2 linked regions of the Arabidopsis thaliana genome follow. The protein of the gene in region 2 purifies or fractionates together with the protein of the main gene of each other region. This does not show direct contact. Each region holds a gene or a part of one and is shown on either strand. Other genes may lie near its edges.

The links. Proteins that work in one complex are often made in the same cells at the same time.
Region 1: the proteins of CAK1AT (region 2) and AT3G16270 purify together in Arabidopsis thaliana (affinity purification with mass spectrometry, with the first as the bait; one study listed by BioGRID). This does not show direct contact.

What each region holds. Positions count from the first base shown.
Region 1 is NC_003074.8:5,511,671-5,515,424, reverse strand, and holds the start of AT3G16270 (ENTH/VHS family protein), read right to left. Parts: upstream 2,153-3,754; 5' UTR 2,054-2,152; exon of another isoform or gene 1,925-2,053; 5' UTR 1,725-1,924; coding exon 1,518-1,724; intron 1,235-1,517; coding exon 497-1,234; intron 325-496; coding exon 169-324; intron 79-168; coding exon 1-78. Other genes in the region: TRZ4 (tRNAse Z4), read right to left, coding at 2,307-2,654, 2,736-3,728. UniProt on the Arabidopsis thaliana protein: Mediates clathrin-dependent trafficking of vacuolar cargo from the trans-Golgi network (TGN). Promotes plant growth.
Region 2 is NC_003075.7:14,286,309-14,290,062, reverse strand, and holds the start of CAK1AT (CDK-activating kinase 1AT), read right to left. Parts: upstream 1,667-3,754; 5' UTR 1,593-1,666; coding exon 1,092-1,592; intron 900-1,091; coding exon 1-899. UniProt on the Arabidopsis thaliana protein: CDK-activating kinase that modulates CDKD-2 and CDKD-3 activities by phosphorylation of the T-loop. Activates CDKD-2 C-terminal domain (CTD) kinase activity. Activates CDKA-1 probably by phosphorylation.

The DNA of each region.
Region 1 (3,754 bases), on a different chromosome or scaffold from region 2:
AGCAGCCTCTCGCTTCACAGTATTATCAGAGCTGCTCATCAACCCACTTGACTGTCCACCATTTAGAAGGCTCAGAACCTACACAACATCGGTATCTCGAGTTAACCAACAAATTAGCATAATGCCAAAAAAGAGTTTTGTGAATGGTTATAACAAGCAGAAGCTTACCTTGTTCGCCTTTTCTCGAAGGGAAGATTGTGGAGACTCTGCGCACCGCTGTATGGCATCCAAGTTTTCACTAAAATAGGTATGTACAATTGAAAAATTCTCATCTTCCTTCTTCCTCAAAATGGCCTCAAGGACACATAAAGCTTTCATCCGAACCTGCCAAACAGAAAAACACAGTTACTTTCAAAGTACAAAAGTGGGAAGATTAACGCTACAGAAGAAACAAGCCAGGGAAAAGAAAATACAGATGATATAATCAAGAAAAAAGTACATTAGTAGCATCAAACAGTTTCACAAGGAGGTGACTAGGAAATAATCATAAACATACCTGCCACATTGGAGAATGGAGCTTCCCGTCAAGAGCAATGCTTAAAGCAACAGCGTCCATTTTTGCAGCCTCTAAAATGAAAACATGAAGAGCATCACGAGTTGGCTGCAGGCGTACACCACCAGATGTAACAATGGTTTCCAGCAGCTTTTCCTCACGAGTTTTGCTCTCAACACGAACTGAAGCAGAACTTTCACTTGCTTCTCCGGAAGCGTGGCCCCAAGATCCACCAGTCGTGTTCTTAGACGTTCCGTAGTTACCATCCTTCCCCAGCTTAACTGGATCATATCTACTGAAGTTCTCATTTTCCATAGTTAATGATCTGTGGAGATTTGGACCTCTGTAGCTGCTGCTGCCATTCTCATTCTTCTTTGGCAAATGGCCTTGAGCAAAATTACTGATTCCTTGCTTTATAGATGCACTTCCAATACCCACCACCTCACTAAGGAACGATTTATTATCATTAGAGGGCACCTGAAAGTTAGTATTCCCGAATCCTTCAATGCGTCTGTTGATGCTTTCAGGAGCAGCTGGTTTAGTACCATTCTCTTCTGAGAATATAGCAGAAATTGTTTCATGAGCAGTTTCCCGTACAGCCTTATTAAGTGCATCTCCTTTTAAAGGATCTGGATGCCCCTTGTAATGGAATAGATTGCGCACTGCAACCGAATTCCTTTGCATTTCTCGTCTAAACTCTGAGCCAGACTTTCCCACAGCATACTTTATCAACCTAAGAGCCTGTATATACATATAATAACCAAAATCAGTATAACCAGTTCCTACAGAGCTTTTAGCCACAATAAGATCCATTCTACGTCTCCCTATAAACAAACTCTACGCTATAATCAAACACATAAAGCTTTCTCTTTGATCCATTCTAAGAAAAAACAAACATCTACCTACAATCTAAATCAATCCCGACATGCAAACATTTCAATCAAAATCTTCATGGAAAACAAATGTCTCACAAAGGAACAACATTTCACAATCAAAAACAGAAAACAAACGTAATTGAAAATACCTTCTGCTTAACAATGGGGCTTTTGTTATCAAGACGTTTCAAAATGAATTCAGAAAACTCCTTGACGATGCTGACATGAGAAGAACGAAGGAGGTCACAGATCTCTTCCAATTTGTACACAGGCGCAACTTTGTCCTCATCAGACGTAACCGCATCTATCATCCGCGACCTCCAATACGATTCCACAGCTCTCCTGCTCGTATCCATGGCGAATTCGAAACAAAACAACCCTAATTCCCAAAATCACAACTTTTTCGTCCTCACCAGTCAAAAAAGCTTCAAAGACAACAACTTTATGAAAGACCGATCCTCAAAACAATTAGATCAGTCAAAAAACCGATCCTTTAAGCTCCAATTCCAGCTCAAATTCACCAAACTAAAGATCACGATCGGGATCCAAATTTCCCCTATAAACCAATCAACGCGGAGGTAAAATTAGACCCTTGAGACAACACAATCATGCGTCAAGCGGAATCGAATCAATAACCTCGGAGAAATCAGCAGAGAACGGAGAAATTGAGAAGAAAAAAACTCACCGATTCGTATGTGACAGAGAAAGAAGGAAGCGGTCAATAAAGAGGAATGGTTGTGTGTTCTTCGGTGTCTTTCCTTATTTCCCAAAGTTCCGATTTTTTTTAATTTCTTTTTCACAATTCACATTATGCACATGAAACTGATTTATTTCCTCTGTCACACTCACAGGAAAAATCAATTAAATTGATATTATTTCTAAAGACAATACAACACAGTCAAAAACAGGGGACAAAACAGAACATTCTAATCTATATACTAATTGATGAAAAAGCTTGGGACTTTGTCACGTATTAAGCTATCATCATCAGTCTCTTCTTCTTCTTCTTCTTCTTCAACCACTTGGTTTCTGAATAGAGTTTTGAAGTAAGGTAAAATCTTTGGAAGCACATGTAAATCCGCCATGTTTATACTCATCATATCAAAGGCAATGCATGTATTGTGCATATGTGATTCGTCAATCACCGGGATCTTTGGGTATCTCTGGCTAAAATGTGTCAGTACGGTTCGGTATACACCTGCTGAAGATCCAACTTTGATTGCTTCTTTAGTTGTGCTATGGTTTTTAGCCACAGCTTCTTCTACCAACGCATCCTCAAACGTCGCCTGTTATAAGTTTGAAAAGATGGTAAATTTTAAGAATGAGATGTAAATGTTTTACACAGTTTTGCTTATATAGAAAAGCACCTCATGTATAAGAACTGTTGCTCCTTTTGAAGCTTCAACCATCTCAGGACAAGGCCTTGTGTCTCCCGAGTAAACCATTTTCCACCCCGGAATCTCATCTCCGGCAATGTTTTTTCTTTCTGCTGCTTTTAACGAAACCCCAAAGGCTTGAGGGCAATGCACAACAGGAAAGCTAATCAAATGCTCCAACCCCATTTCGCCGAGGACTTTTTTCAGTTTCTTCAAGAATGGTAAAGCTGAAGAATTGTCTGTCAGTGGGCTGCTCGGTCTTTTATATATACTCTGCATTAGACTTCCTTTACTGAACAAAGAACCCTCTGCATTGCCGCTACTGGTATTTTTCTCAGGGCGGCTGGTTTCTACAGAAGCCCAAGATGTTGTTGTGGTGTTCCTGCAGTCGAGAAACTCCATATCTAAATCCTCAAGTCTTTGATATGCATCGAGAAAGTTCTTAAGCGATCTCGGTCCAACCACAATTGCTGGCTCATGAGCCAATCCTTTCAAAAGCTCACGTCTGCGAGCAAGGATTCTTGCAAGACCCGTATGGTGATCAGCATGGATGTGAGAGATCCATATACATCTCAAGTTTCTGACTGCTTCATCAGCTCCTTCTAAACCATATCTTCGTTTAAGCTGGCCTAAGGTACCTTCCCCACAATCCAAGAGAATACTGCCTCTAGAGAATAGGTCGATGTAAATTGCCGTGACATTTCGGTATTTTGAGGGTTGGGAGGAACCAGTGCCCAAAAGAACTATCTCCATGTCGTCTCTTCTAATGTTTTCAAGACAGCTTGGAACAGTGCTTTCACCCAGCCATGGCTCTTCGATCATCATCTTGTTGTGTTGTCCATTCCATAACTGCTTGATTTCTTCGGTCTTACTGCTGATTTCAGGAATTTCTGAAAGAAGCTCATCCATCACTCGTAAAGCTGTTAATCGACTAGGGATACTAGATCTGTCTACCCCAAGATTACCATGTGGACGCAAAGTGAACTGCCCACAATATATCAATGAGAGAA
Region 2 (3,754 bases):
ACATTCATGGGTCCAAAGCCATCAAAATCTGAATCTGAATCCATTTCTCTGTAATCATTCCACTTTCTCGGAGAATCCTCATCTGGTCCACTCATTGTCGGAGGCACATAGAGCTCTGAAACTGGAACTGGAAGAGGCTCTTCACTTAAATATTTGTCATTCAGCATCTCCATAGTAGTAGCTCTACTAGCTGGATCATAACAGATAAGCTTCTTGAGCAGCGATATCACATCCCCTGAATGGTTGGGAAGGCATCCTTCAATACCAAGAGGAGATTCTACTTTAGCAAATGAGATTGACTTGTAGTCTGGAAGATCAACACAACCAGGCCAGACCTCTTCATTTAAATTTCCCAGCACATTGGTCACTCTGCTGATCTGATCAATATCTGAAATTCCTGGGAACAAAGGCTCAAGAGACAAGAGTTCTGCAAACACACAACCAAGCGACCATAGATCGACCTCTAACCCATACATCGTAGATCCATAGAGCAGTTCTGGTGGCCTAAACCATCGGGTTCCCACACAAGATGTCATCAAACCCTGTGTATCATCCACTGCTTCGTCAGCATCGTAAGAAAACGAGTTCCTACCGAGATCATCATCCATTTCACTAACAGTGCACGTTGCAAGGCAAGATATGTCTCCATCATGCACATTCGAGTCCTTATCAGTATCATCTCTAACAACCTGTTTAGCCTTGAGCTCTTCCACCTGTCGGAAGTACTCGTCTTTACTCATCGCTTCCCGTTCCTGACCATCAGACCCTTGCCTAGGTGAGTTCTCATAATCAGGAATAACTTCTGGTGGTTCGCTGGTTTCTCCATCTTTGTCTTCCAGTTTGTAAGCTTGTTGGTTTTCATCTGAAGCTACAATATCATGCTCCATGAGTATCCTAGCCTGTATATGAACCAAGAAGCCAACACACATTTAGAAACTCATAGATTACACTAAATGATAAGGTCTAGCCACTTGATTACACTAACTCTTCCAAATTTCAAGCAAACCAAGCATTTTTCATTCAGAGGTTTCTCATATTTGTGCATCAAACAATGAAATAACTAACACAATCAGTAACAATCATAATCTCACCTGACCAAAATCAGCAAGCTTAAGAACTCCATCATCAGAAATCAACATATTCCCAGGCTTCAAATCTCTATGTACAATCAAATTCCGATGACAAGCATCAACACCGGTTAAAATCTGAATCATCCATCTCTTAATCTCCCCAACCGAGAATCCATCCCCTCCTTCTACCTTCTTCTTCCTCTTACCATCTCGGATCACCGCAGCGAGATCCGACCTAAGAAACTCAAGCACAAGCACAGCGTTCTCTTCCTCACGCCAGAAGTATTCGTGCATAACAACTACATTAGGAGATCCATTGAGGATGGTGAGCGCGTCAATCTCCCGGAACGCAGATTGGTAATCGAAAATCTCCTTGAGCGCGACGATTAGACCGTCGGAGAGACGGCGAGCTCTGTAAACGTCGGCGTAAGCTCCGGATCCGACTCGCTCGAAGATCTCGTACTTGGCGATTATCTCCGGCCGGGTATGGATACTCCAACTGGTCGCCGGTTGTTTATCCATCTCCTTTAAAACGGCGTCGCTTTTCTTCGGATCTTTCCTGATGATGGATGATTATTCACATAAACGCTAACGAATTCACCAGTTTAAAAATCCAGTTCCCATGTTGTAATGACTAAAATGCCCTCACAAGTTTTGGAGCGGACAAGAAACCAAACCGCAGGGGGGGACTTTTATCACTTATGCCACTTTTTTGAAAAAACTGATCTGGACTGCCATAAGTTAATCTGAATGCCACCGAAAATGTGATATACCAGTTGTACCCTTAATGAGTTGATTAAAAAAATGAAAAAGAAATTCAAAAGCTAAATAAAGAAAATCGAGTTCGGAGATTCTCCTCTTCGTCGTCGTGTTCTTCTTCTTTGGTCGACGTTCATCTTCTTCGTCGGCCACCATCGATTTCCTCATGCCGCCGACTTGAAATCCGGCGTAAAAGCCACGAATTAGGTCAGTTTCTTCTCATATTTCCTTTGACATTGGTGCATTGTGATTTTAGATTGGGATTTTGAATTCTATATAATTCCCAGCTCGATTCAATTTGATAGTTTGATGATTGGTTTGCAAAGTAAAGAGTAATCGATTAGAGGTTGCCGAAACGTTATTTGAGGTGATGAGCAAAGGAATGTAGGTTGAATGTGAGTTGAATTTGAATTCCGAGATTTCATATTAAAGATTTGGGGGGTTTGTGTTTGCAAAGTTTAGATTAACCAATTAGTTTAACGAATAGGTATGTATTAACATTGGAAATCAATTGAAAGGTAACGAATTAGGTTCAGTAGAGACGAGTGCGACGAGAGATTGATTTCAACGTATGATAAGAGTACATGTGGTATAACTATTAAAATGTTTGATTGGAGTTGAACTGGTTGTATTTTCAGGAGCGATGAAGAAGAAGATCCACACTAAGGTACATTTTGACTTTGGAGGATACTATTCTGAAGTGAATGAGTGGATTGGTAAAAATTCACTATATGTTATATCGTTTAAGACGAGTAGTTTGGAGAAGATTAGCTATTCGATGTTAGTTGACAAGATCATGAAGAAGGTTGCGATTGATGAAGCTTCTGTCAAGTTGAAACTGAGTTACAATCTGTCTAAAGTTAGGAGAGAGACATATATTGTAAATGATGAGGATGTCTTCATATTTTTAACAGAATCTGATGAAGAGAGTCGGATTCCTGTTTTGCATGTGGAGGAATTAAATGGTATAGGAGTTGAGAGGAGAGAGGAAATTTCTGTACCGGAGCGTCGAAGTTCAGTTGGTGTAAATGTAATAGAGGATGATGTTTTAAATGAAGTATGTGAGATGGTGCATGATGGATATGATAATGATGTGAATGATTGTGAGAATGTAGTAGGTACGGAGATCGTGGCTATCGAAAGGCCGATGGAAAGGCCGGTGAATTCTGTTGAGGAACAAGATGAGGATGATAGGATTGATTATGATGATATTCACGATATTCCACGAAGTGTAGAAGTTACTCCGCAGGTTATAGAATGGGATGATGGTACGGGTATTGAAATTGGTCAAGAATTTTGTTCAAGGGAGGCTGTGTGGGAATTGGTTAACAGAGCTGCAAAGAAAGAAGTTTTTGGAGTCTATACTATTAAGTCAGACCCGTTGAGACTTATGCTACGATGCCGCCAAGCTTCTAAAGGGTGTACTTGGTATCTAAGAGTTGCGAGAACTAAAAAATCTCATTTTTGGAGTGTTAGAGTGCATAGAAAGATGCATACATGCTCTCGGAGTGTTGAGACTACAAGCAACAGTATACAGCGAGGCACACCAAGATTAATAGCATCGGTTTTACATTGTGATTATCCCGGAAATTTAGAGACCCCAACTCCAAAAAACATTATGTCGATTGTAAGAGGAAGACTTGGGGTGCATTGTTCATACTCCACTGCCTTAAGAGGCAAAATGCTACATGTTAGTGATGTGCGAGGGACTCCGGAAAGAAGCTACACGATGTTATTTTCTTATCTTTACATGTTAGAGAAGGTAAATCCAGGGACAGTAACTTATGTGGAGTTGGAAGGAGAGAAAAAGTTCAAGTACCTCTTCATTGCATTAGGCGCTTGCATTGAAGGTTTTAGGGCAATGCGGAAAGTGATAGTTGTGGATGCAACTCATCTTAAAACTGTGTATGGTGGGATGTTGGTTA